7 linked regions of the Macaca fascicularis genome follow. The protein of the gene in region 3 purifies or fractionates together with the protein of the main gene of each other region. This does not show direct contact. Links are inferred from orthologs where the notes say so. Each region holds a gene or a part of one and is shown on either strand. Other genes may lie near its edges.

The links.
Region 1: the proteins of HSP90AB1 (region 3) and AHSA1 purify together in Homo sapiens (affinity purification with mass spectrometry; 6 studies listed by BioGRID and IntAct, with this or other methods). This does not show direct contact. The link is inferred for Macaca fascicularis from reciprocal best matches to the Homo sapiens genes HSP90AB1 and AHSA1.
Region 2: the proteins of HSP90AB1 (region 3) and PPP5C purify together in Homo sapiens (affinity purification with mass spectrometry; 6 studies listed by BioGRID and IntAct, with this or other methods). This does not show direct contact. The link is inferred for Macaca fascicularis from reciprocal best matches to the Homo sapiens genes HSP90AB1 and PPP5C.
Region 4: the proteins of HSP90AB1 (region 3) and SRC purify together in Homo sapiens (affinity purification with mass spectrometry; 3 studies listed by BioGRID and IntAct, with this or other methods). This does not show direct contact. The link is inferred for Macaca fascicularis from reciprocal best matches to the Homo sapiens genes HSP90AB1 and SRC.
Region 5: the proteins of HSP90AB1 (region 3) and CHUK purify together in Homo sapiens (co-immunoprecipitation; 3 studies listed by BioGRID and IntAct, with this or other methods). This does not show direct contact. The link is inferred for Macaca fascicularis from reciprocal best matches to the Homo sapiens genes HSP90AB1 and CHUK.
Region 6: the proteins of HSP90AB1 (region 3) and ERBB2 purify together in Homo sapiens (co-immunoprecipitation; 5 studies listed by BioGRID and IntAct, with this or other methods). This does not show direct contact. The link is inferred for Macaca fascicularis from reciprocal best matches to the Homo sapiens genes HSP90AB1 and ERBB2.
Region 7: the proteins of HSP90AB1 (region 3) and TTC4 purify together in Homo sapiens (co-immunoprecipitation; 3 studies listed by BioGRID and IntAct, with this or other methods). This does not show direct contact. The link is inferred for Macaca fascicularis from reciprocal best matches to the Homo sapiens genes HSP90AB1 and TTC4.

Annotation. Positions count from the first base shown.
Region 1 is NC_088381.1:145,412,696-145,417,484, reverse strand, and holds the start of AHSA1 (activator of 90 kDa heat shock protein ATPase homolog 1), read right to left. Parts: upstream 2,968-4,789; 5' UTR 2,822-2,967; coding exon 2,742-2,821; intron 1,429-2,741; coding exon 1,238-1,428; intron 1-1,237. Other genes in the region: VIPAS39 (spermatogenesis-defective protein 39 homolog), read left to right, coding at 3,682-3,693. UniProt on the Homo sapiens protein: Acts as a co-chaperone of HSP90AA1. Activates the ATPase activity of HSP90AA1 leading to increase in its chaperone activity.
Region 2 is NC_088393.1:54,404,227-54,408,257, reverse strand, and holds part of PPP5C (serine/threonine-protein phosphatase 5), read right to left. Parts: intron 1,825-4,031; coding exon 1,677-1,824; intron 974-1,676; coding exon 852-973; intron 1-851. UniProt on the Homo sapiens protein: Serine/threonine-protein phosphatase that dephosphorylates a myriad of proteins involved in different signaling pathways including the kinases CSNK1E, ASK1/MAP3K5, PRKDC and RAF1, the nuclear receptors NR3C1, PPARG, ESR1 and ESR2, SMAD proteins and TAU/MAPT.
Region 3 is NC_088378.1:127,267,227-127,270,224, forward strand, and holds part of HSP90AB1 (heat shock protein HSP 90-beta), read right to left. Parts: coding exon 2,949-2,998; intron 2,337-2,948; coding exon 2,130-2,336; intron 2,027-2,129; coding exon 1,867-2,026; intron 1,685-1,866; coding exon 1,551-1,684; intron 1,418-1,550; coding exon 1,109-1,417; intron 662-1,108; coding exon 496-661; intron 293-495; coding exon 102-292; intron 1-101. UniProt on the Homo sapiens protein: Molecular chaperone that promotes the maturation, structural maintenance and proper regulation of specific target proteins involved for instance in cell cycle control and signal transduction. Undergoes a functional cycle linked to its ATPase activity.
Region 4 is NC_088384.1:93,513,501-93,517,746, reverse strand, and holds the end of SRC (proto-oncogene tyrosine-protein kinase Src), read right to left. Parts: intron 3,768-4,246; coding exon 3,614-3,767; intron 3,459-3,613; coding exon 3,327-3,458; intron 3,037-3,326; coding exon 2,828-3,036; 3' UTR 802-2,827; downstream 1-801. UniProt on the Homo sapiens protein: Non-receptor protein tyrosine kinase which is activated following engagement of many different classes of cellular receptors including immune response receptors, integrins and other adhesion receptors, receptor protein tyrosine kinases, G protein-coupled receptors as well as cytokine receptors.
Region 5 is NC_088383.1:109,147,732-109,151,762, forward strand, and holds part of CHUK (inhibitor of nuclear factor kappa-B kinase subunit alpha), read right to left. Parts: intron 2,047-4,031; coding exon 1,985-2,046; intron 702-1,984; coding exon 592-701; intron 1-591.
Region 6 is NC_088390.1:60,788,995-60,792,634, forward strand, and holds the end of ERBB2 (receptor tyrosine-protein kinase erbB-2), read left to right. Parts: intron 1-664; coding exon 665-762; intron 763-937; coding exon 938-1,126; intron 1,127-1,412; coding exon 1,413-1,665; intron 1,666-1,806; coding exon 1,807-2,162; 3' UTR 2,163-2,686; downstream 2,687-3,640. Other genes in the region: MIEN1 (migration and invasion enhancer 1), read right to left, coding at 3,628-3,640. UniProt on the Homo sapiens protein: Protein tyrosine kinase that is part of several cell surface receptor complexes, but that apparently needs a coreceptor for ligand binding. Essential component of a neuregulin-receptor complex, although neuregulins do not interact with it alone.
Region 7 is NC_088375.1:179,943,041-179,947,071, reverse strand, and holds part of TTC4 (tetratricopeptide repeat protein 4), read left to right. Parts: intron 1-299; coding exon 300-514; intron 515-2,365; coding exon 2,366-2,447; intron 2,448-4,031.

The sequences.
Region 1 (4,789 bases), on a different chromosome or scaffold from region 3:
TTTTGTATTTTTAGTAGAGACGGGGTTTCACTGTGTCAGCCAGGATGGTCTCAATCTCCTGACCTCATGATCTGCCCGCCCTGGCCTCCCAAAGTGCTGGGATTACATGCATGAACCACCGCGCCTGGCCTGTATTTATCTATTTCTTACCATTTAATGTGCACAAAACTATGCTACCAATTTTTAGTGCCTATATTTTAAAAAAAAGTGTCTGCCAGACACAGTTCGAGACCAGCCTGACTAACATGGTGAAACCTGTCTCTAATAAAAATACAAAATTAGCCGGGCGTGGTGGCAGGCACCTGTAATCCTACTTGGGAGGCTGAGGCAGGAGAATTGGTTGCACCCAGGAAGTGGAGGTTGCAGTGAGCAGAGATCGCGCCACTGCACTCCAGCCTGGGCGACAAGAGTGAAACTCCGTCTCAAAAAAAAAAAAAAAAAAAAAAAAGGGGGGGTCTGGGCAAAATGACACCAAAGATTCCTTCCATACTACTATGCTTCAAGTGTACTTTAAAAACAAATGAACAAAAATCAAGGACAGATAAATCTACTTTCACCCTTTTTTATGATAAGACTATTCACTTTAGAAATGTTTATCAAAGCACAAATTTCATGCCTTGCCTCATACCCAGACAGTAGCTATCTCATACTCCTTTAACTTTATTGTCTTTTTACATTCAGGCTCTCGACAGTCAGGACTGTCCAAAACGGGCATACGCATGACCTCAATTTTTTCCTAATGTCATACAGAAGGGACACAAAACTAGAAGAGAGATAAAACAGCCCCAAATTACTGTCACACACAAGCTTCTTTTTAATTTGTTAGAGTCACACTGAGGAGAGTAAAAAAAAAAGATCAAGACCAAAAAAACAAAAACAAAAACAAAAACAAAACAAAAAAACCCCTCCTTCCTTCTTTTAAATCACTCACGAGATACATGTAGCTAGTCTGAAGAAATATCACCTTAGGTGTTCCAACAAAGACCAAGGCCCAAACATGCAGTGGCCCAGCCACTTCATGGGTGGGACTGATGAGACCCGGAGAGAGGAAATCCATTTAGCATCCCACAATGGCAAAGAAATTTCAGTACCCAATACTGCTTTACATAGGACTGCAAAGCAGCAACATCTGTCTTCTCCCTTCAACGTTTGTAACTCCTCAAAACTGTTCTCTCCAGCTACTTAACAGGTTAAACAAAACACAGTTAATCTCTCTGACAGCCCAGCTTAGACTTACCTGTCCAGTTTAGTTTGACGCTCCATTCGTAAAAGAAGATAAGTTTCCCTTTGCGATTGTTAATGGACGCCTCTCCATCAAGCTTACTCACTTCTGTCACCTCACATTTGCCTTCTTCATTTTGAACCTGCACTGCCAGGAACAGTGTTTTCAGCTTATCCGTGGACCAATTTGAAGCATCTCTCTCCGTCCTGCAAAGCAGAAACAAAGCTATGAACTAGCAGTCAAATGGAGGATATACTGCTCTATGCAAGAGAATACGAGGTTAAAGGAGGCCTGACAAATAGTTTGAAAGGAACACAAAAACTCCCAGTCCCACTCCAGTATGTCCACAAACATGTCACCCTTTTCTAGGAAGACAAGGGGTTGCACACTGTCAACAAAGACAGCTGCTGTAGAGAATGGTATAAACTCAATGGCATGATGGTGCTGGAGAATACTTGATACTTTAACATGGCGCCCCCATTTGACCAAGTGGAAAACTGCACATATTGCTCTGATCAGGAACACAGACTGGACCATGGAAAAATAGTACTTAGCTAAAAGGCCCAGAAAGGATTCAACCAATAACCCTGACCTCACTGGCACAGTGTTCTGACCTATCAGATTCGCACTTGTATTATAAACTTCCTACACATTCACTGCCCCCTAGATGGCCACAAAAACGTTAAGACAAGGGCTTCAAAACAACAAAAATTAGGTCAACTACTCTGCATGTTAGAAGAGAGAACACAAAGTGAGATATGGAAAAGAAACATCACTATCTGCCCTCCTGCTTATCAACTATTAGAGAAAACAACAGCAAAGAAAGCTGCAACAAAGTAACGGTACAATACAAACATTATGAACAGAATTCAGTGGAATTCAAAAGTAAGGAAACATTACTTTGGGAAGATTTCATGAAGCGGGGCAGTATTTTAAGAACGGACAGGTTATAAAACCACGGCTGCTCGGCAACCTGGAGTTCCAACACACCTGACCTGACAGTTCCGGGTGAGAGGCCGCAGCTATCTGAGCTCTGAGCACCTGCACAACACGTTCTCAATCTCCCGCGGGACTGCTGCAGCGGTCCCCTATGAATGACTTTTAATTTTACTGCAAGCCGCAAAACAGGAATTACAGACCCCTGGCCTTAGGCCTTTCACAGCTGTCTCCCAACACAATCAAAAGAGGTTCCAGTCTCAGTGACTCCTCTGGCCACGTGTAGTAAGCACCTCCCTGCTCGGGCTGGATGCAGCAGCCAGGGCGTTATCTCCCAGTCTCTCTGACAACCCTCCTCTGGGGCGCTGCCCTCCACGTCCATCTCCCTCCCCTCAAGCACTGAGAAGGTGGCCGGGGAGTGGAGAGGCCTGGGGCTACGGACCCCTGCCACAGGAAGGACCCGCCCCCATCTCCGGACAGGGTTACTTCAGCCCCAGCTCTGTCCGGTCCGAGGTTCCAGGAACCCTGGAACCCTGGCCCGGCCGCAGGTCTCCCAAGGCCGGCCTGCTTTGCTGGCCCTCACCAGTGCCAGTTGTTGACGTTGGTGGCGTCCGCCCGCTCCTCCACGATCCAGCGTGGGTCTCCCTCACCCCACTTCGCCATCAGCTCTCCTATCGCGGCGCCACCAGCTCCGGAGCTGCCGCAGCCACAGCCTCAGGACCGCTTAGTGCCAGCCGCCCGGCAGCGCCTGGAAACTACTAGAAGCGGCCGCAAGCACCTCCTGGCTTGCTTTTCCCTCCACCCCCTCCCCTTCTTAACTTCCGGCTCCTCCCCACTTCCACCGGCTACTTCCGTCCCAACTCGCCGCACCGTGGGTTCCATCTGATTTAGTGTTCCTTCGGACTCCCTCAGGTTCTCCCCAAAAAGGGTCCCGAAACCCAACTGCTCATACAACCATTCCTCACCCATAGGAAAACAAAGAACACGTCTCATTGTTTCCCTGGACCCTAAATCGGCCTTGCTGAGCCTCATGGGACTTGTAGTCTTCTTACGTGACCCGCTGCATAACCGCGGAAGGTCGCCCTGAAGGGAGAGGAAATGACCTAGCACAGTGCGTGGGGTTTCTGGGGGCTGTAGTCAAGAAGCCTTGTGGTTCATCGGGACGGCGCCTGACAGCAGAGGCAGAAGAAACTACAACTTCCAGCATGCCCTGCGGCCTCTTTATTCGCGTTTTCTCCCCGCCGCGCGATTATTCCTTTCTGCCCCCTTCTCTAAGCTGCACAGCCTGAAAAGAGAGGCTGTTCCAGCGGCGGCGGAGGCTGACGCAGTCCTGAGAGGGAGGGCTCTGTGCGTAAGAGGTGAGGGTGTCCCAAGCCCCTTGGGTCGCTTATCTGGCTGAGTCCAGCCTCTCCGCATCTTGATCTTTTCCCCTCTTCTAGGAGGCATCCCTACATCCTACGACCACAGGCCTGATTCTCTTCTTTCAGTCAGGGCGACCCTTGGGCGCTGGAGTACGCTTGGGAATGGGGCTGCGAGTAAGCACCAACGATTGGTTCGGAAGCGGACATTTGGTTCAGAAAGAGCATTTAACTCTGCCAGGGATCCGCTGGGCTCTGACGACTGCGGTAGATCCATGGCTTCCTGGACGTTCACCCGTAGAGTCATCCTAGCTTAACTCATGTTCCCTGGTCTCAGTTCACAAGCCTCACCTGTATCTTCCTGGCTCGGAAGATAATTGAAACCAAGTCTGACTTTCTCAGAAGCTGGTTTTTGGAGTTTTCTGAGGCAGGGAGGATGTTGTGGTTTTCTTGCTGATCCTTCTGTTTTCTTTTGTAAAGTTCCTGTTCTCCCCTGAGATCCCTCACCCTGCCTTGTGGTCTGTCAGTAAACAGGAGACGACAAAGATAAACCTCTGAAGTGTTTTAAATCATGTTGAAGCACCTGTCACTCTTAAGATTGTACCTGATTACTTATAACTCTGGAGCTATTAGATCATTATCTATACTTGTCAAGTAAACCTAGCTTCTCATTTGGCGTTATAAATACAAATTGATGGCAGGTGTCTACTGCCATTGCATGGTTTAAAAGATTTCCAGAAATCCTCTGGCAGGTTATTGTGTTTGTTAGACATATTCTATGTCTATTTGTAGATAACTACTATAGTGAAGGAATGATCTCTAGTTTTCCAGAGAGTGAAAAATAGATAGAAGGACCATGCAGGACACTAGAAATGGTCTAGAAGCCAGAAAGCCTGGATTGTAATTTGAAATAGCACGTAACAAGGTGGCTTTGATACTGAACTCTTTTGTGCCTCCCTTTCCCCGTGAGTAACATGGAAATGGAATTTCCCAGGCCTACCTTACAAGATTGTTCTGAGGATCAAATGAATGACAGATTTATGAACTGACATGTGTGCCAGAGACATTTATATGTTCTGTGCACATCTTCAGCATTTGTGGCCACTCAGAATTTTTGTATTTTTTTTAATTTTTAGGATTGCTAAAAAATATTTTCTTTTTTAGCTTTATCCCAAGGTACTATGATGATGTATTAATAATAAAAGTTACTACTGAGTGTTAATTTTGGGTCGGGCACTAAGCACTTTATATGTATTAACTGGTTTACTCCTCA
Region 2 (4,031 bases), on a different chromosome or scaffold from region 3:
ATGTGCTAGGCACTATTTGAAGCAATGATGTGGATTACACACAGTTATTCCTTACCACAGCCCTTGGTGGAGACGATATGATTATCTCCACTGTACAGGGGAGGAAATCAAGTACAGAGAAGTGAAGCCATCTGCCTACAGGCACACAGCTAGTATGTGGGAAGGCAGAGATTTGAACCCAGGCTGCCTGGCTCTCTAGGACCTATCAAGTGGCAGCTTCCCACATGGCCTGCACACTCCTGTAAGGGTCACCTGCCTGTCAACCTGACTCACAAGAAGTCCCGCATCCTCACAACCAACCCAGGAGGTGGTGGATCTCGGCAGATCCCCCAAATTATGGTAAAGTCCCTGATAGGTCAGGGCAGGGGGCCTTGTCCAGATAGGATACCAGAGCCCAAGTCTCACTCAACCAGTTAACACCCTGTGGCCAGTTGCCCTCCTGGTTCGGAGGAGGGGATGGTCTCAGGACTAGGAGCCACCATCAGGTCCCAAACAGCCTGCAACAACCAGCAGCCACAGCTGCCCAAGAGCCTGGGATGAGAACTCCAAGCAACAGACTCCGCTGCTTCTTCACCTTTCACCCTGACCTCTCTGGCCCTTTGTCCCTGCATCTGTCAAACGGCACTGCCCGCCACCGCCCCAAGCTGCTGTGGGATGGATGAGATGAGACTCTGTGGGAAGCCCTTGGCACGGTGTCTGGCACACGACTCCTGCTCAGTGTTGGCTGTCGTGGCCGCCCTCCTCCTGTCGTTGCCGCCCTCCTCCTGTCGTTTTGCTCAGTGCCCATGGCTGGCAGCACTGTGATGCCACCCCAGGGTTCCCGGGTGCCTGGTACCTGACAGGTGCATTACCTGGTAGGCGCATTTCCGGTGCAGTTTTTTCTGGTCCTTGTACCACTGCATGAGCTCCTTCATGAAAGTGATTGTCACTTTGCCATCCTCAAGCTTGGGTCCGCTGTACTCATCCTCAATGGCTGGGGTGTGAACGAGGGGGGACACGAGAGTCAGTGACCACAGCCACTGTGAGTGGGGAAGAGGTCTCGCTCCTAGGGATGGGGCAAACCTGGCTCTGGACACACAGGTTGAGAGAGGGACGGAGCAAGTGAAGAGTCCCCTCCTGGGTCAGGTCTGGCCCAGAGGCCTCTTCCTGACCTCCCTCTCTACCTTCACCCACATCCTTTTACCCTATTCAGTTTTATGGCACTTAGCACTATTCATTTCGTGACTTGTTCATCATCTTATCTCCCTCCTAGAATATCAGCTCCATGAGGACAGGGAGGGCTTTGTTCATAGCTGTACCCCCAGTGCCTAGGACAGTGCCCGGCACATAGGAGATGCTCAATAATCATCTGTGGGATGATCCAGAACAATCACTTGGATCCTCTCAGCACCTAGAGGTGAATCAGACACAGCCTGTGGGGCCTGTGCTACTACCCAGAGGGAGGGCCCGTGAACTGGCAGTGGGTCCACGGCTCCCCAGTCTTGCTCACTGGGAAACGTGAGGCCCTGCTTTGGGCTGTGGATGGAGTGCCCTGGAACACAGGCAGAGGAGTGACAGACAGTAGGCTGGGGACAGAACAAGGGGCCACCCCTGAGCCCACCCCCACCCCCAGGGAATGAAGAGGGCCCGCGTGGAATGTTCTGGGCTGAAGCATGGCGCGCCCGGGCCCGACTCACTCATGCTCTCGATGTCCAGTGAGTCCACCACGGAGCGCTTGTGCTCGTCGCCCGCGATGGCCCGCTCAAAGGCCTTCTGCTTCACGATCTTGTTGCACTCCTGGTATTTCATTTTGGCGTCCTTGTCGTGGGGCTTCACCTTGACAACCTGGTGGGGAGGGAAGGAGTGTGCACGCTGAGGCTGAGGTGGGGGTACAGCGGCTGCCCCCAGGCTGCCCAGCCCTGGGTTCCATGAACACGGAAGTCAGACCGCCTGGGCGCCAGGTGCTGACGGTGCAACCCTGGACATGTTTAACCTCTGAGCCTTGATTTCTGCACCCCAAAACTGGGTACAGCAAAGCTGCCCGCACGGGTGCACTTCATCAATCTTAGCCAAGAGTGCGCTAAAATCAAACAACTGCCTGTCTGAGGGTTATGGGCTCAGGGTGCCCTGTAAGAATCCCTGTGGGGCGAGCGACGTCCCAAGCACATGTCCTGATGCTACTATCGTGACTACCAAGGCGGCAGGAGGATGAGAGGAAGGGCCCGCAAAGGGCCAATGACTTGCTGGACGACATGGGCTCCCCAAGCCCAGGTTACCTCATCTCTAACAGGGAGGTGACACAGGGCTCCCCTGCCAGGGCTGTGGGAAGTAATAAGTAACACACAAGGCCTGGCACGCAGCAGGGGCAGGCGGGCAGCAACACTGAGTGCTGTCACTTCTCTTGCTCACCCTCTGGGGAGGCCTGGGACAAAGGATTTCCCTGTTTTGTCCACTGAAGAGAGGAACTGAGGGTCACAGATCCCGGACACTGGGTTCAAATCCCAGCTCTGTAGGTCATGAGTTGGGTGACCTCAGGCAGGTGAGTCTGCTTCTGTGGCTCAGTTTCCCTCTGAGGTGGGACTGAGAACCGTGTCTCCCTCAGAAGGCCGCGGTGAGAGCTGCACGGGTGAATCTTGTGAACTCTGCACAGTGGTGCCAGGTGAAAGGAAACTCCACGTTGGCGCCCACTGCTCTTCACGGTCCCCGCTCTGGGGCTGCTGCGCTGATGACCAGATCAGATGATAGGCGTGGGGCGCTCGGCTTTGGGACAGAGCAAGTTCCCAGTGAAGGGAGCCCTATCCTCTCCCCTCTCCCCATCTTATTTACTCCAATTCCTGCAAACTCGGATCTTCTAACCTGAAAAGCAGACTGGATTTGGGAGCTGGATTCGGATCCTGGCTCTGCTACTTACTTGCCGTGTGACTTTGGGCAAGTGACTTCACCTCTCTGAGTCTCAGTTTAGTCATGTAGACCCTGTCTGACCTGCCCACCAGCCTTAGCCTCCCCAGGAGCGGACCCCCACAGCTCCTGTGCCAGAGGACAGACTGGGAGGCCCCAGGGCCGGCCCTCAAGGAGCAGGGGTGGCCTCTGGTGGAAAGCCTGGCAGTGTGAGTCAGAAACCTCCAGAGACACCCACTGACCCCTGCAGGCTGGTGTGACAGAGGTGAGGGGTGAGGCTCATCCACGCTGGGAACAGGTGTGTGTGTCAAGCGGGGTGAGAAGAGCCCATGCCTAGCAGGCCACGGCTTCCTCCCTGTCTGGGCAGGCCCAGGGCACCCTGCCAGGCAGCTCCACCTGGGCTGTGGGTGGGTGTAAGGCAGGGGAGGAAGATAGCACCAGGCAGCCCCTGGCATCCTTCCCAATGGGGAGCGGTTATGTGCGCACACCCGGCTGGTGTCCAAATCAGCATGTGTCCTGGCCCATGCGGCTCCTCCCACCCCTCTATACCTCCCAGCCAGACCACTCATGTCCCCAGCGTGCTGGCTCCGGGCCTTTGTGCAGGCTGCCCCTGCCCGGAGCACCTCATTCGCACCTCCACCTCCTCCTCCAGGTCTCAGCCCCACTGTCCCCTCCTCTAGGAAGCCCCAGAGGCTGGGTCAGGCAACCTCTCTGGGCTCCCAAAGGCCCCTGGGCTCCCTTGTTCCAGCCATGAGCCCTGCTGGGAACCGGTCTGTCCACCGCACTGGAAGGGGGCCCTGTGAGGGCAGGGCTGAGGCTCAGCCATAGCTGTGCTTGCAGCAGTGAATGAATTTCCCTTCCCCTCTTTCTCCAAACAAATGAATGAGTGACTGAGCATTTCCTCCCCGCCAGTCTCCTATTCTCCTATTCTCCGGGGGCGGGCGGGCTAGGAAGGAAGATGAAGGCAAACAATAACAGTGCAGGCAGGAGAAAGGGAGTGGGAATAGCAACAGGGGCAGCGGAAGCAGTAATAATACACAGCTCACTTCTGGAGCACTGACTATGCGCCTAATACCGTGTGAGCAATTCACTTGCTCATTTATCCTCCCTGCACCTCTACATGGCAGTGTTTTCACAATCCTCATCTGACAGAC
Region 3 (2,998 bases):
AAACAATCCAACTTAACTACAATTCACTTTCTATGTGAATGGAAAAATTTGTTAGTAATTACTAAGAAAGTGGTAAAGGGAATAAGCATTTGCTTCTTTACCTTGAGATTTTTAGAGAATGCCTCATAGAATTTCTTGTAATTCTCCTTGTCTTCTGCCAGCTCAGAGAAGAGCTCAAGACACTTCTTAACAATGTTTTTACGAATGACTTTCAAGATTTTGCTCTGCTGGAGCATTTCTCGGGAGATGTTCAGGGGCAGATCCTCAGAGTCAACCACACCACGAATAAAATCTGCCATCAACCAGGATAAGAAAGCTCAGTAAAAATAGCTAGACCAGAGCTGGTACCCAGATTCAAACAGAAGGCTCTAATAGCCTCCTGAACCCTTATACTTACTATGCATTGCAGAAAATCCTTAACCTAGGATATTCTGGCAGAATGCCGAAAACCTCCCAAGACTTCACCCAACTAAATTAGGCCAAGGAGATACTCACTGAGATACTCTGGTATTAACTCATCACAGCTGTCCATGATGAACACACGACGGACATAGAGTTTGATGTTGTTCTTTTTCTTCTTGTTCTCAAAAAGGTCAAAGGGAGCCCGACGAGGAATGAATAGCAATGCCCTGAATTCCAACTGACCTTCTACAGAAAAGTGCTGAAAAAAAACAAAAAATAAGCAAGTGATACATTTCAAAAGAGGGCCTTTTAGCCCCAACACCAAATTACCTAAAAATGGAATAATGATCCTCCCCATAAGCCTAACGGATAGAGCGCACACACAGGCAGTTCCCGAGAAAACTGAGCCTTAATGCCCTCAACGATCTAGACGAATACTAGCTGTATATAGAAAACAGTCCGCTCTGATCAGAACTCTGGATGTGTAAGGCTGCCAATAGACATTACCCAGATTTCCTTTAGAGAAAGTGAGGTCATTAGGAAGGATGGCACTTCACTATGACCGGGTAATCAGTAAGTGAAAATACATAGCTCTCACATTTCTGTTATCAGCTGGACACGTTCCATGTGTCTATTACCTGCCAACACTCTTCCACTTATTCCTCTCCATATTTGCATGTTGACCCAACATGCAAAGGCTTCTCACCTTGACTGCCAAGTGGTCTTCCCAGTCATTGGTGAGGCTCTTATAGAATTCTCCATACTCCTCTTGGGTGATGTCATCAGGGTTTCTGGTCCAAATAGGCTTGGTCTTGTTTAGCTCTTCCTGATCAATGTATTTCTCTTTGATCTTCTTAGTTTTCTTCTTCTTATCCTTACCACTGTCATCCTCCTCATCTGAACCCACATCTTCGATCTTGGGCTTTTCTTCATCATCTTTATCTTCCTCTTCTTTCTCACCTTTCTCTTCCTCTGCCTCATCATCACTAATTTCCTTCTCTCGCTCCTTCTCCAACTAAGTAAGAAAAACAGAAATTAGCCTTGGAGTACAAAACACCAGGAAAAGCAGAAGCCAGGGACCACGAGATTCTCCAGAACAGGAAACATCCTGCACGCTAAGTGTAAAAGGTTTAAAAGTCCATACTCACATAAAGGGTGATGGGATAGCCTATGAACTGAGAGTGCTTCTTCACTACTTCTTTGACCCGCCTCTCTTCCAAGTACTCTGTCTGATCTTCTTTAAGATGGAGGATCACTTTGGTACCTCTGCCAATGGGCTCACCTAGAAGAGTCAATCATAAGCGTGTAACAGGGCGAAAGTATATGCAGTTGAGACTTACCAAATTAATAAAGTATTAGCGGAACTGCTATGAAGAACTGCTTGACAGGATGCTCAAAATTTCTGCTACTGGTGAGCCCACAAAACTCTAACCCAGCTACCTTGTAACAGAAAAGCTAACTTACCATGGTCAGCCCGCACAGTGAAGGAACCTCCAGCAGAAGACTCCCAAGCATACTGTTCATCATCGTTGTGCTTTGTGATCACAACCACTTTCTCTGCCACCAGGTAGGCAGAATAAAAGCCAACACCAAACTGTCCAATCATGGAGATGTCTGCACCAGCCTGCCAACAAGTTTTTGTAAAGTCAAACACAAAATTTAAAGCAGCAAAAAAAATAAAGAACACTGATGAATATGAATGGTGTATGCCTACAGAACTGCAGTACCTGAAGAGCCTCCATGAATGCTTTAGTACCAGACTTGGCAATGGTTCCCAAATTATTTATGAGATCAGCTTTGGTCATCCCAATGCCTGTGTCTACCAAAGTCAGGGTACGTTCCTGAGGGTTGGGGATGATGTCAATTTTCAGCTCTTTACCACTGTCCAACTTCGAAGGGTCTGTTAAGCTCTCATAGCGAATCTTGTCCAAGGCCTGAAACGAATACAAACAGCAACTTACTTTTGCTCTCTCCGAGACAGGCAATTGCTCTGTTGCCCAAGCTACAGTGCAGTAGTAGCAAGGATGACAGCTCACTGCAGCCTTGACCTCCCTGGTTCAAGCCATCCTCCACCCCAGCCTCCCAAGTAGCTGGGACTACAGGCACATGCCACTGTGCTCAACTAATATTTAATTTTTTGCAGAGACAAGGTCTGGCTGTTGCCCAGGTTGCCCTCGAAATCCTAGGCTCAAGTGATCCTCCTGCCTTGGCGTTACAGGTGTGAGTCAACACGCTCGGTCACTTTTGCTTTCTTAAAGCCCGTGTCTTCAAAGAAAATCTTGGTTTACCTCTCTCAGCCTCAAATCTGATTGCCCCTTATCTTGAGGCTTTAGAACTACAGTTAGTTACATGAGCCCACTTTTTCTGGACATAGTCACTTCCCTTTCAAGTTCAAGATGGCCAGAGAGTAAGACAAATCTTTTTGGAATAGTTGCAACTTTACCCCCTTCAATAGTAATCCCCAACAAAGGCCAAACCACTCCTTTCCTCTCTACGAAGAGTGTCAAAAAAATAAACACACCAAATATAGAAACCACAGCACTTACATCAGAAGCATTAGAGATCAACTCCCGAAGGAAAATCTCCTTGTTGGAAT
Region 4 (4,246 bases), on a different chromosome or scaffold from region 3:
ATACTCCCATGAACAGAAAGGCACACGCATCCAGGTACGCTCCCACCAGCAAGCAGAGAACACCTGCCACAACCTCACATCCAGATCATCTCTACTCCAGAGACACGCACACCCACACACACACCCCTGTGATCTCCAGATGCCACCCTGACCCGGACACTATGATTTGTTGAAATTCGTTTTTAATTAAGCGATGTTGCAGCCAGAGTTGACTCCGGTGTACAGGTGTGTGATCTGATGTATATTTGTGTAAAATAAATGTGTTCGTATAGACAGTTGCAAATCAACCTTCAAGACTGCGTGCTTTGGTGGTGGGGAAGGAGGGAGGAGGGGAAGGGTCTTTGGGTGTTTCTTCAGCATTTTCAGGACTTTTGTGGATCAATCCAGCACCCCTGCCCTGCACTCCTAGGAAACACGTGAAGAGCACACACAGTGGCATTCTTGTCGTGTATTTGTGATCTCCTATAGGCAGGCCTGACAGCCCCACCCACTCCCCAGTGTCACTGCTACCATCCACCACGGACATTTGAGTCCTGAACTTGTCATGCTCGGGGAAGTCCTGTGATGTGCCTTGTCCTTCTCCCAGGTGCTCACCCCCAAACACAGGTGCAGATGTGCACAAACAGCCACATTCTGCCGTAGCTGTCTCCAGTCTGATCATGTCACCCCTGCCTTGGCCTGAAGCCCTCCAGCTACTAGTACTGCCCAAAGACCCCTCGAGGGGCAGTTTGTTCTCGCATATTCCGCCCCATCTCGCTCTCCAGCACACAGTAGATGTTCAATAAACTGTTGATCAAATTCTGAGGTCTGCTTGTGTTTAATCAGACAATATGCAAAGTATTTACAACCAATTCTGGATACCCCCACCCCCCCATGTCTGGGCCTTGGAATTTGGGACCCCCAGACCCGGCCCAGAGCCAGGGGTCCCCCAGGCCTCTGCATAGTCATCTGAAATCTACAAAACACTGTTTAAAAAAAAAAAAAAAAAAAGGACAGTATTAAGACACCTTACACAAAGGGCCTTAGGCAGTTGGAGAGGGATTTGAGAACTCGCTGGGGTGAGTGAGCCCAGACTTGACTGGAATGGACGGGAGAAGACTTGGGTAATAAACATGTACGAAAGGAAAAGTTGAAATTTCATAGGCAGGCACTGCTTGACCTCCTTCCCCACTGGCAGGGCCTGGCTGGCTCAAGAACCCTTGGCAGTGGGAATGTTATTGCTATGACGAGGGGGCCATGGTGAAATGTACATGTTTGGGGGACGGAGCAGGGGGGGCATTTTTACATGTTAAATATGGACGCACATGGAGACACACACACATGCACACGCACACACACACAGGGACCCTTGGCAAAATGCCACAAACTGTCAGCTGCCCCTTTACACATGGGCACACTGAGGCCCAGGGAGAATCTACCACACACCCTAAGGCTGAACAGAGCCAGAGCCCAGTCTCCTGACGTCCCAGGGCTGGGCTCACCATGGATGTCCTGCCAGAGGGCCTGGACTGGAGCTGAGCAGTTGCAGAGGCCATGGCCACATGTGGGGCAGACGCTGCAGCCCAGAGAGAAAGCAGGGGCCACCCAAGGTTACACAGCCAGTCCTGGTGCATGGCAGTGGGTAACACGTCCTCTTTCACCCCTGCCTAGGCACTCTTTTCTCTCCTGATGAGTTAAAGGGTGCCAACTTGGGGAGAAGAACAGGGCCAGGAATTGAAATGCCACAGGACAAAGTACGGGGAAGGAGGCCAGGACCAGGGCCTCCTGGACTCTTGGCTCTTCTATGTCTGTTTGATTGCCTCCAGAGCCCCGGGGCTCACTCTCTTTCATGGCCGGCTGGCTCTGAAGGTCAAAAATCACCCACAAGCTGATTGAAGCCTCTCTCTCCACACTTGCACCTTTCACCCTGATTCCCAGCTCAGCCCCACATCTGCCTCCATGCTGTTCCCGACAGCTGGGCTGAGCAGGCAGCGGCAGTGGGAATCTGCCGTCTCGAATGCATCCTCAGACCCCTTGTCTCCTGGACTGTCCCAGTCTTTCCATGATTCCTCTGACGAACTGTTGGTTCCTGAGGAAGACAGAGGGAGCACCAGGTTCCAAGCCCACCTCCACTCTGAACTGCTCCGTAGCCTTGGGCATGTCACATCCCCTCTCTCGACTGCCTCCCCATGGGTGAAATGGGGGCAAGGAAGTGATGATCTCAAAGGGTCCATCAGGTCTAAGGAGGGCAGGGTTTGAGGGGGTACTCATCCCACCCACCCACCATCATCAGGTCAGGCGAGGCCTCGTGCTGCCCAGCCTGGGAGCAGCGGCAGAGGGTCTGTCTCGGCAGCCTCCGCCTACAGGTGTTTCCAGAACGGATGGCGAGGGGCAGGGTGGCAGGCAGGCAGGGCCAGGGCCCTCTTTGGAAAGGCTCTTTGGCCAGCTCTCGACATAGACCGGCGGTGGCACAGAAGTGGGGAAGGAGTTCAGTGAGTGGAGTAGGCTGAGGCTGGAAAAGGGCACCCTCAGCCCCGGACCCAGCCCTTCTCCCGGTTCTTCTTCCAGAGACCCACAGAGCTCCAGGAGGGAGTGCGGGGAGGAGCGTGCGGCTACAGCGGGAGCCGGACAGAGTCACTGTGCTGGTCTCGCACGCCTGCCGCCCTCTCGGGCCACCCTAGGTCCAGAAGCCCCTTCCATGCCACCAAAGAGGGAGGGGCCTCGCCCCTGACAATTCAGCCCCACAGAGAGAGGACCAACAGCAGGCAGGCAGAGCGAGGCAAGCCCCGAGACAGGGGCCACCCAGCCCAGAATCCAAGCCGAGAAGCCGGTCTGGGCCCGCCTGCACCTAGAGGTTCTCCCCGGGCTGGTACTGGGGCTCGGTGGACGTGAAGTAGTCCTCCAGGAAGGCCTGCAGGTACTCGAAGGTGGGCCGCTCCTCAGGCTCCTTCCGCCAGCACTGGCACATGAGGTCGTGCAGGGACTCGGGACACTCCGGTGGGCAGGGCATCCGGTAGCCCCGTTCCACCTGGTCCAGCACCTCGCGGTTCACCATCCCTGTGGGCAGAGCAAGGCATGGGGAGCCCGGCTCCAGTGAGGAAAGTGGGGTGGGGGAAGCTGATGGGGAGGACAGCGAGGGCTTCCTGCCTAGGACAGGTTGAGTGTGACCATAGGTAGGTCCTGTCCCCGAAGCTGAGAGCATGGACCATCGGGAGAGCCTAACATCAGATGCTCAACTTCTTTGTTGTACGGATGGGGAAACGGGCCCAGCAGGAGTCATGACTTGCCCAAGGCCACCAGGGCAGACGGGTTTGGGGACTAGAGACGGGCCATGAGGACCTTCTTACCAGGGTAGGGCACCCGTCCCTTTGTGGTGAGCTCAGTCAGCAGGATCCCAAAGGACCACACATCCGACTTGATGGTGAAGCGGCCATACAGGGCAGCTTCCGGAGCTGTCCACTTGATGGGGAATTTGGCACCTGCAGGAATGAGAAAGGTCGGGGCAGCTCTGACCTCCTGTCACAACCACTCTGGTAGATAAGCACCATGAGGAATGACAGATGAGGAAACAGACTCGGAGCGGGACGTGACCTGTCCCAGGCCAAGCGCAGCATACCACACAGTCCCTGCTCACCTTGCCGGGCCGTGTACTCATTGTCTTCGATGAGCCGAGCCAGCCCGAAGTCAGCCACTTTGCACACCAGGTTCTCTCCCACCAGGATGTTGGCTGCACGAAGATCCCGGTGGACGTAGTTCATCCGCTCCACGTATGCCATGCCTGAGGCGATCTGCAGGTGGAACCGCGGGAGCCCGGCTCAGGTGCCACCCATGCCCTCCCAGGGCCACATAGCACCCCGGGGCTGGAAAGCCAACCACCCCTTCCCCACCCTCCCCACACTTCTTCAGGCAAGTGAGGTCAGTTCACAGTAAATGCTGTTGGCATCGAAAGCAGGAGCAGTGCTCTGCGGGAATAGGGAGCACAGGGCAGAGGGTAGAGGGCAAAGGTCAAAGGGAGGCACAAGATTAGATGCAGCCAGGAAAGCGAGGTGACCATGGAAAGAGGCCCCAGCGGACCCAGACACAGATGAGTGCCAGGTCCTGCCTGCTGCCCAAGTCTCTCTGAGCCTGTTTTCTCATCCGTCCAGTGGGAATAACAGCCAATCCTCGTCACTCCCGGTCGTGATGAGGATTAAATGAAAAAAAACACTTGTTGAGCACTGCCTGCAGCCAGCGCGAACACATGTCTGCTGAGCGCTACATGACCTTT
Region 5 (4,031 bases), on a different chromosome or scaffold from region 3:
ATATTATTTTATTTGAATAATGAACCCATTTTAAAGCAAGTTCATATTGCCAACGAGTATTTCACAGAGCATTTTATTGAGTAATAAGAACTACACAAGTTCTTAAAATGCAAAGTTTAATATAGTTCATATCTATTATGATCTACCATGAGGACATCTCTGCACCAGAGACACTTAAACAGACAAAAATTATGACCTATAATTAGAGAAAATATCTGAAGTTTTTAATCCAGAACTTTAATTAAGAAAAAATCTCAAGTTTTAGGGCATTTAAGAGTCAATATCTTGGACCAGAGGTACTATGAGTAGGGAAACAGTTTGTAACTTAGTTATACTTGGAAAATTCTTAACACTCATATGAAATAAATGCTTTTATTCAAAACCAAAAAAGGCCAACCCAAAGAATTATTTCTGAAGTTTCCTGTGACTAAGAAAAAGCTTCCACTTTAAAGATAATCCCAATATATTTGGGGAAAGGAAAACTAGAGAAAAGAACCACATAGAGGTTTAATTTGCCAGATGTAAGCAGAAAGAACAATATGCTACAAAATATAACAGATGTCAAGACCAACAACACAAGTACATCCTTACAGAGATTCCATCAAGTCTCCCTGACGTCTTCCATAGGGGCTCTTCTGTAGCTCCATGATTTCAGCATGCAAAGACATAATCTGATCCTCCAGGTATCCAATGACACCAACCTAAAATATGATGAAAATACAAAGGAAATGAAAGGCTTACCACTACATCATTGGAAACAAAATTCAGATCTTAAGGATACAGAATGACCTGCTGCTTCATTAGAGAACTAAATAATATAATATGAAACACTGATATTGTTAAAGCCTTTCTATTCTTCAGATTCTGACACTTAATCCTTCACATAAGAACACACTTATTCTTAGTCTTCTCTCTTTTCTCTCCTGACAACAGTAAACTACTAGTATTTGCTTTTACCTCTGGAGAAGCAAAAAGGTACAACAGGTGTCAACTAATAAGAAAGACCAAAACCACTGGTATTACTTGTATCTTGGCTCTATGATTTTGATTGCCTCCTGGCCCCCACTGCCTTGAATAGGGACACAAAAAGATAAAGACCTTGGATTTCCCACCCCAGGACACCATGGGTATTCCCACCCACATCCTCAGGGTAAGTACTGACATTAAGGAGTGTAATAACTTAGGACCATGGACAAATGTACAGGATAAGGGGAAGAAAATCTGCCACCTAGAGAATGATCTATACCTAGGGACACCATATAATTTATTGTCCAAACCAGTGTCATTTTGAGAGTGAAAGGGACTACTACTGATAATTATGGCAAGATATTAGGTATAAACTGGGACAGTCCCACTAAACCCAGATGTGCAGCCATCCTATCTAAACCAGTCACAAAAATAATACTGACTCCCATTTAATCTTCATAACCCTACTAGAAAAGAAATTGTGCCCATAATATGGAAACTAGCTGGATGTGGTGGCTCATGCCTGTAATCCCAGCTCTATGGGAGGCTGAGGTGGGAGGATTGCTTAAGCCCAGGAGTTTGATGCAAGTCTGGGCAATATAGTGAGACCCTGTCACTAATAAAATGTAAAAATTAGCCAGGCATGGTGGTGCACCTCTTGTCCCAGCTACACAGGAGGCTAAGATGGGAGGACTTGCTTGAGCCTGGGAAGTTGAGGCTGCAGTGAGCTTTGATCATGCCACTGCACTCCAACCTGGGCAACACAGTGACCCTGTCTCAAAAAATAAATAAATAAATAAAGGAAACTGAAGCTTAGTAAGGCACTAGGTAATTTTCAAAAAGCCCTTGTTTTTAATCACTATGATACCTCCCTCTTTATATACAAAGCATCTACTAGAATTTTGTCTGAATTTCGGGAATGACATGAAAAATGCTCTTTATATACCAAAACCAAAGACAGTTTCTAATGGAGACATCAAGAATTAATAAGTACACAGAATGTGGTCAATGATTTTACCTCAGCATAGTGGATGGCCTTTTCTTCCATTTCTTTCCATGCTTTTAGCATTTTTTCTGAAGCTAAAAGAAAAGTCTAAATTGGTTATCTCAGAAATAGCCATATCTTTAATTACTGGCCTGCCTGCCTCCTTGCCATATCAACATCAAAGATGTGTTATGAGTTGAATTGTGGCCCCCCAAAAGATATGTGGAATTCCTAACCCCCAATATCTCAGAATGTGACCTATTTGGAAATAAGGTCATTACAGAAGTAATTAGATAAATTAATACTCATACAGGAATGGTCTGGGCTCTTAATCCAGTATGACCAGTGTACTTAGAAGAGACGAGACACAGGATACAGATACACAGGGGAGAATGCTATGTGACAATGGAGACAGATTAAGGTGCTGCAACTGTAAGCCAAGGAATGCCAGTGATGGCTGGCAGACCATAAGACCATAAGAAGCTAGAGAGAAACAAGGAAAGATTCTTCTCTGCAGATTTCAGAGAAAACATGGCCCTGCCAACACCTCGATTTTGGACTTTTAGCCTCCAGGGCTGTGAGACAATAAGTTTCTATTGCTGAAGCCACACAGGTTATAGAACCCTTAGGAAATGAATACAGATGACTGTTTTCTTTCTTTCTTTTTTTTTTTTTGGGGAGATGGAGTCTCACTGTCACCCAGGCTGGAGTGCAGTGGTGCAATCTCAGCTCACTGCAAGCTCCGCCTCCCAGGTTCACACCATTCTCCTGCCTCAGCCTCCCAAGTAGCTGGGACTACAGGCGCCCACCACCATGCCTGGCTAATTTTTTGTATTTTTTAGTAGAGATGGGGTTTCACCATGTTAGCCAGGATGGTCTTGATCTCCTGACCTCGTGATCTACCCGCCTCGGCCTCCCAAAGTGCTGGGATTACAGGCGTGAGCCACTGTGCCCGGCCGACTGTTTTCTTAAAAAAAATATGTATATCAGTGTGGAGATAGGTGGATAAAGGAAAAACCAATTTTTTTTTTTTTTTTGAGATAGTGTCTCACTCTGTCACCCAGGCTGGAGTGCAGTGGCATGATCTCGGCTCACCGCAACCTCTATCTCCAGGGCTCAAGTGATCCTCCCACCTCAGCCTCCTGAATAGCTGAGGTGTGCACCACCATGCCCGGCTAATTTTTGTATTTTTTGTAGAGATGGGGTTCTACCCCACATTGCCCAGGTTAGTCTTGAACTCCTGAGCTCAAGGGATCCACCAGCTTCGGCCTCCCAAAGTGTTGAGATTACAGGCGTGAGTCACCACACCTGGCCAGAAAAGAAATTTAATACTTGAATGTGATTTTTAAAAATTAAATACTATAAAAGGATATAAACAGAAAAGACTCTGTCTTCCTCCCTTCTACCATCCACCTCAAGGGACCTTACTATGATTATTTGTTACACAGACACATACCCTGCTCCCTCGCAAGTGAAACCACTGGTATACTCTCTATTTTTTCCCACAATTTAAAACTTTTCTGTCAACTAAAGACCCAGGTGATCTTTTAATAAAGCACATACAGATCTACCTCATTCTTCTTTAACAATTGTATAATAAGCCTTTGACAAGTCTAAGGTATTTTAATGAAATAATTATATTTTATCACTTGCCAGAATGTCAATAATATACAAATAGAGATAAAATAACAATATTATTAATAAAACCAGTTCTGGAGAGTAAATTCATTCACCCAACTGGACACTATTGATTGTTTATTCTGAGATACACATACTTTGCTCAGGACAAGTGTACAAGCAGTATTTGTTTCCTAAAAAGGATTTGTTTTATAAAAGAAAACAGAAATGCTGGTAGTGACTCCTTCAATTTACTCATATTTTAACTCTGTCTTTTTACATTTCCTTAGTGCATCTGAAGGAGATAAGCTTGGAGTCAAATATTGAAAATTTGGAGATCGTGTATGCAAAAAATAGGACTCCACGGTAGATGGTTTGAAAAAAATCATAGCCTTAGAATATTTGTGTCATTATTTACAGAAAGGTAAGTAGTTTAAGACTCCCCTGGTTGTCTTAGTCCATT
Region 6 (3,640 bases), on a different chromosome or scaffold from region 3:
GGGTCGAGAAGCCCACAAAGGGCATGAAAGGGGACCAGGATGTATGTAGACCCAGGAACCCTGGTATATTAGGAGCCTCAAAACCTTCTCATATCCCTTTTACAGTCAAAGTCCAAAGCCACTCTTGAGGAACAACTAGAGAACCTTATGTACAATATTAAGCTGGGCACAGTGGCTCATGCCTGTAATCCCAGTACTTTGGGAGGCTGAGGTGGGAAGATCCCTTGAAGCCAGGAGTTCAAGACCAGACTGGGCAACACAGTGAGACCCTATCTCTACAAAAAATAAAAAAATTCGCTGGGTGTGGTGGTGTGTGCCTGTAGTCCCAGCTACTCGGGAGAGGCTGAGGCAGGAAGATCACTTGAGCCCAGTTGAAGGTGGCAGTAAGCTATGATTGCGCCACTGAAATCCAGCCTGGGCGACAGAGTGAAACCTCATCTCAAAAAAACAAAAAAGCAAACAAAAAGAAAAAATATTAAAAGGGAAACTAGTAGAGATGCCCGAAGGTTCTGGCTGAAGCCCCCAGAGTCTGGTACTACTTCTCTACCACCAAGGGCTTTGGGCTGTCCCTTGGGACTGTCTAGACCAGACTGCAGTGGGAGTGGGAGGGGAGGCAGCAGGCACACAGGGCCGGGGCTAGATGCTGGCCTCCCTCCTGCCCCAGGTTGGATGATTGACTCTGAATGTCGGCCGAGATTCCGGGAGTTGGTGTCGGAATTCTCCCGCATGGCCAGGGACCCCCAGCGCTTTGTGGTCATCCAGGTACTGGGCCTCTGTGCCCCATCCCTGCCTGTGGCTAAGAGCACCCTCCTGCAGAGGGTGGGAAGGAGAGATGAGTCCGGTGTGTCAGGCCCCTCACCTGCTATGAGCCTTCTTCATGGAAGGCTGCATGCTGAGCTGGGGAGGGGCCACCATCCCACCTCTCCTTCCTCCGCAGAATGAGGACTTGGGCCCAGCCAGTCCCTTGGACAGCACCTTCTACCGCTCACTGCTGGAGGACGATGACATGGGGGACCTGGTGGATGCTGAGGAGTATCTGGTACCCCAGCAGGGCTTCTTCTGTCCAGACCCTGCCCCGGGCACTGGGGGCATGGTCCACCACAGGCACCGCAGCTCATCTACCAGGGTCAGTGCCTTCGGTCACACTGTGTGGCTGCTTACCTCCTCCATCCCTGGTGGACTAGGGTCCCTTTCTCTGATGTTCCCTCAACTGTCACCTCTCAAGGAGACCCCATTATCCCTACAAAAAATTCTTACTGCCTTCCAACCTCTGTGACCCCATTCTCTCCACGGTGATTGTGTCGTACCCCAAAGGTGACCTGTTTTTCTCCTGTGACCCTGTCACCTCCCATGGAGTCCCCATCCCAGATCCATTAAGTGACTCCCATCATGACTTACTTTCTTGTCCCCAGAGTGGCGGTGGGGACCTGACGCTAGGGCTGGAGCCCTCTGAAGAGGAGGCCCCCAGGTCTCCACGGGCACCCTCCGAAGGGACTGGCTCTGATGTATTTGATGGTGACCTAGGAATGGGGGCAGCCAAGGGGCTGCAAAGCCTCCCCGCACATGACCCCAGCCCTCTACAGCGGTACAGTGAGGACCCCACGGTACCCCTGCCCTCTGAGACTGACGGCTACGTTGCCCCCCTGACCTGCAGTCCCCAGCCCGGTATGGAGTCCAGTCTAAGCGGAGAGACTGATGGGCGGGGTAGGGGGGACCCTCAGCCCAGGGTCCACTGTGGGGGCAGAGGGAGTGGCAGCGACACCGGGGTTCCTTCCCCTAATAGGTCATCTTCTCTTGGCCTTTCAGAATATGTGAACCAGCCAGATGTTCGGCCACAGCCCCCTTTGCCCCAAGAGGGCCCTCTGTCTCCTGCCCGACCTACTGGTGCCACTCTGGAAAGGCCCAAGACTCTCTCCCCAGGGAAGAATGGGGTTGTCAAAGACGTTTTTGCCTTTGGGGGTGCTGTGGAGAACCCCGAGTACTTGGCACCCCGGGGAGGAGCTGCCCCTCAGCCCCACCTTCCTCCTGCCTTCAGCCCAGCCTTCGACAACCTCTATTACTGGGACCAGGACCCATCAGAGCGGGGGGCTCCACCTAGCACCTTCAAAGGGACACCTACGGCAGAGAACCCAGAGTACCTGGGTCTGGACGTGCCAGTGTGAACCAGAAGGCCAAGTCCGCAGAAGCCCCGATGTGTCCTCAGGGAGCAGGGAAGGCCTGACTTCCACTGGCATCAAGAGGCGGGCGGGCCCTCCGACCACTTCCAGAGGAATCTGCCATGCCCAGAACCTGTCCTAAGGAAACTTCCTGCTTGAGTTCCCAGATGGCTGGAAGGGGTCCAGCCTAGTTGGAAGAGGAACAGCACTGGGGAGTCTTGGTGGATTCTGGGGCCCTGCCCAATGAGACTCTAGGGTCCAGTGGATGCCACAGCCCAGCCTGGCCCTTTCCTTCCAGATCCTGCATACTGAAAGCCTTAGGGAAGCTGGCCTGAGAGGGGAAGTGGCCCTAAGGGAGTGTCTAAGAACAAGAGCGACCCATTCAGAGATTGTCCCTGAGACCTAGTACTACCCCCCATGAGGAAGGAGCAGCAATGGTGTCAGTATCCAGGCCTTGTACAGAGTGCTTTTCTGTTTAGTTTTTACTTTGTTTTGTTTTTTAAAGATGAAATAAAGACCCAGGGGGAGAATGGGTGTTGTATGGGGAGGCAGATCTGGGGGGTCCTTCTCCACACCCACTTTCTCCATTTGCAAATATATTTTGGAGAACAGTTAGGCACCGGCCTATGTCTGGGGGTAGCTCTGCACCATCCCTTCCTGCTCACCTTACACTCAACTCCTCTTTTCCTGGAGGGAGTGACCAGGAATCTTCAGAAAGCTTGGATGAGGAGCCTGACATCCAGTTCTCTAGCTTCAGGGTTGGGGGGGATCGGGAAGCTGGATTCGGATCCGAGAGCCCTTTAACAACCAGATCATTCTTTCTTAGAACGAATTCCTAAGGCCACTCACCAGAATGGGGTTATTTCCTCCTTGTGAGTCAGGAGAGTGGCGGTTGAGTGGGCGAAAGACGAGGCAGGGTCTACTGTGGGACTCATTTTCCTTGCCTTGGCTATGCCAGAGGAGCTCACTGACCTAAGGAGTAGCTGTCCAGAAAGCCCACCCAAGCCAGCACAGCCACCCTGGCGGTACAAAGGCTGGGCCGGCCGGACTTCTGTGCCCCCCACATTCCCAGATTGGACATATAAAAACACACACTAGTTAGCATTAGTGTTTGTAGTGCCACTTTACTGCCAATGGCTGACATTGCCCTGGGTTGGGGAAAATAAATAAAATCTACTGTGGCATCAGACAGGTATTACCGAGGTGAAGAGTGGACCAGGCTTTTGTGGGCACTTATCCTGGGAAGGGGGTATAAGGTGGCTGGGGAAGTGTCCGTGGAGAGTGTCTCTCTCCTGCCCCCAAGGCCATGGAATCTTATTCCTTCCTCGTACCCAAAAGGGCAAAGTGGAGGCCAGGGTCTCTTTGCTAAGGAGCTAAGTAAGGGAAAGAGGCAGGGGGAGCTCCCAGCAGGACCAAAGGGAGACCAAGGCTTGGACCCCAGAACAGAGCAGGAACCCAGAATCCTGTGCAGTCACAGGATGACG
Region 7 (4,031 bases), on a different chromosome or scaffold from region 3:
GGATTGTGTGTAGCGTTGTCCCTCGGAGCTCCCATTGTTACGGTTTTTTTCTTTTTTTTTTGGTGTTTTAAAGATGTCCATGTTCATTCAGGGTATGGATGGGGAAAATTAAATTAAAAATAAAGTTAATTGTGCAGCCTGGACGATATAGTGAAACTCTAGTCTCTTCAAAAAATAAAAATAAATAAAAAATAAAAAAATTAGCCAAGTGTTAGGGTTTCTTTACTTCAGTAAAATGGGTTTGCATCCTCCCACACAATAAGATGTGCATTATGTGTGTGTTTCTGTCTTTAACCCAGGCTAGGAATATCAGGCTCTCAGAAGCTGCCTGTGAGGATGAAGATTCACCCTCAGAAGGTCTAGGTGAGCTTTTCCTGGATGGACTCAGCTCTGAGAACCCCCATGGAGCCAGGCTGAGTCTAGATGACCAGGGCAGGCTGAGCTGGCCTGTGCTCTTTCTGTACCCAGAGTATGCCCAGTCGGACTTCATCTCTGCTTTTCATGAGGACTCCAGGTACTGACTTGCCCAGGAGCCCTCTGCTTTTACTTGCATGCTGTCTCTTTTTGTGACAGGAGGGACAAGTGGATTTTTGGTTGAGAAGGGAAGATAATGGTTTAGAGGGTTTCACACAATCTGGTGTGAAATCTCTCTATCCTGTAGCTGACTGAACCTTGACTGACTAGGTTTGCAACGACAGACAAAAGTCTCATCATCGTACTGACTGGGCTAGTATGTGTAACACCACAGTATTGTGTTTGCCAAAGAGTGGTATACATCACTGGTGAAATATGAAGTCATTTTAGGTAATACATGCATAGCAACTTAAGTGAATATTAATTAGAAAAAAAATAGAGAGACCGGGCGCTGTGGCTCATGCCTGTAATCTCAGCACTTTGGGAGACCAAGTCAGGCAGATTACTTAAGGCCAGAGTTTGAGACCAGCCTGGCCAATATGGTGAAACCCAGTCTCTACTAAAAATACAAAAAATTAGCTGGGCGTCTGTAATCTCAGCTACTCAGGAGGCTGAGGCATGAGAATCACTTGAACCTGGGAGGTGGAGGTTGCAGTGAGCCAAGATCATGCCACTACACTCCAACCTGGGTGATAAAGCAAGACTTTGTCTCAAAAAAAAAAAAAAAAAAAAATATATATATATATATATATATATATGTATGTATCTTGTGATTTCATAGGGTTAATGCATAGAATAAGTCTAATTGTAAGACAATTTTTTTTTGTAATCTTTTTTTTTTTTGGAGACCAGGTCTGGCTCTGTTGCCCAGGCTGGAGTCCAGTGGTGTGATTATGGTTCATCATAGCCTCCATCTCCCAGGCTCAGGTGATCCTCCTGCCTCAGCCTCTCAAGTAGCTGGAACCACAGGTGAACACCACCACATCTGGGTAATTTTTTAATTCTTTGGTAGACACAGAGTCTCTCTATGTTGCCCAGGTTTGTCTTGAACTCCTGGGCTCAAATGATCCTCCCACCTCGGCCTCCCAAAGTACTGGGATTACAGGCATGAGCCACTGCACCCGACCAGAAATGTTTTTAACCCTGAATCTGTTTAAAGAAAATTATGTCAGCTGGGCACGGTGGCTCACGCCTGTAATTCCAGCACTTTGGGAGGCCAAGACAGGAGGATCACTTGAGGCCAGGAGTTCAAGACCAGCCTGGCCAACATGGCAAAATCCCATGCCTACTAAAAATGTAAAAAATTAGCCAGGCGTAGTGGCACATGCCTGTAGTCCCAGCTGCCTGGGAGGCTGGGGCACGAGAATCGCTTGAACCTGGGAGGTGGAGGTTGCAGTGAGCAGAGATCGTGCCATTGCACTCCAGCCTGGGTGACAGAGCAAGACTTTGTCTCAAAAAAAAAAGAAAAGAAAATCCTGTCAGTCAGGTGCAGGGCTCACACCTGTAATCCCAATACTTCGGGAGGCTGAGGCAGGAGGATCATTTGAGCCCAGGAGTTTGAGACCAGCCTGGGCAATATAGGAGACCCCCGTCTCCACAAGAAAAAGAAAAAAATTAGCCAGGCATAGTGGCATGTACCTGTAGTCCCAGCTACGCAGGCGGCTAAGTTAGAGGAATTGCTTGAGCCTGGAGGTCGAGGCTACAGTGAGCTATTATGCCACTGTAGTCTAGCCAGGGTGACAGAGTGAGACCCTGTCTCAAAAGAAAAAAAAAAAATGTCATAATAGGACAAGTGATACATATGCACATTTTGGGTATTGCTGTCAAATAGGTTAAGCCTGCATTTCATGTTTTACACATGCTAGATAACTTTGAATTAGTGTCTGGGGACTGATGTGGGAAAATTGGTCATGAGTTATTGATACCCAGAAAGTACACATTTTATCTTTAGGTTTATTGATCATCTAATGGTGATGTTTGGTGAAACACCCTCTTGGGACCTAGAGCAAAAATATTGCCCTGATAATTTGGAGGTAAGAGAAGTTTTATTTCATTCCTCTATGGAATTAATTTTTTTTTTTTTTTTTTTTTTTTTTTTTTTTGCGGTGGGGGGAAGGCTGGTAGAGGGAGGAGAAACTGACTGCTTTTTTTTTTTTTGAAAATTATAGTAAAATATACATGACATAATATTTACCATTTTAACCATTTTTAGGTATATAGTTCAGTGGCATTAAAGAACATTCACATTGTTGTGCAACTATCACCACCAGCCATCTCCAAAACTTTTTCATCATCCCAAATTGAAATTCTAAGTACTTCATATAAGTGGAATCATACAGTATTTGTCCTTTTATGTCTGGCTTATTTCACTTAACATCGTGTCTTCAAGTTTCATACATATTGTAGCATGTGTCAGAATTTCCTTTTTTTTTTAAATTTTTGAGACGGAGTCTCACTCTTTCACCCAGGCTGGAGTGCAGTGGTCTGATCTTGGCTCACTGCAACCTCTGCCTCCCAGGTTCAAGCGATTCTCCTGCCTGAGCCTCCTGAGTAGCAGGTATTACAGGCACGTGCCACCACACCCAGCTAAGTTTTGTATTTCTAGTAGAGATGGGGTTTCACCACATTGGCCAGGCTGGTCTCGAACTCCTGACCTCAAGTGATCCACTCATCTCTACCTTTCAAAGTGCTGGGATTACAGGTGTGAGCCACCACACCCAGCCAGAACTGTCTTCCTTTTTATTTGCTTTTATTTTTTGAGACAGAATCTTGCTCTGTCACCTAGGTTGGAGTGCAGTGGTGCAATCTCAGATATTGCAGCCTTGCCTCTAGGGTTCAAGTGATTTTCATGCCTCAGGCTCCAGGTAGCTGGGATTACAAGCATGCGCCACCATACCTAGCTAATTTTGTTTGTATTTTTAGTAGAGATGGGGTTTTGCTATGTTGGCCAGGCTGGTCTTGAACTCCTGGCCTCAAGTGATCCACCCTCCTTGGCTTCCTAAAGTGCTGGGATTACAGGCGTGAGCCACCATGCCCAGCCAGAATTTCTTTCCTTTTTAAGGCTGAATAACATTCCACTGTTGGGATTTTTTAAATAAAAAAATCACAATTTCCAGCATAAAGAATTTTCTTTTTCTAACATTTGAGAGTAGGATGCCAACTGATGTCCCATCACCCCTGAATACTTTAGTGTGCATTTCCTACACGAAAAGACATTTTTCTAATAATACCCATATAGCTATCAAAGCAGGAAATTTACTTTAATTCACTGCTACCGTCTAACCCTCCGTTCGGGTTTCACAAATTCTTTATAGCAAAAGGGTTTTGTTCAGAATCACATACTGTATTTAGTCATCATGTAGCTTTAGTCTCCTTTGGTATGGAAGAGCTCCTCAGTCTTTCCTCCACTTTTTTTTTACTTAAAAAGTTTGCATTCATATTTTTGTGATCATGTGACTCAACTGCAGTACACTTTCTTGATCTTAACACCTTTGAAGATTACAGATCACTTATTTTGTGGAATGTCTGTCAGTATGGGTTTGTCTCATGTTTCCTTCTGGCTAGATTTGGATTATACATATTTGTTTGTTTGTTTTGAGACAGAGTTTTACTCTTGT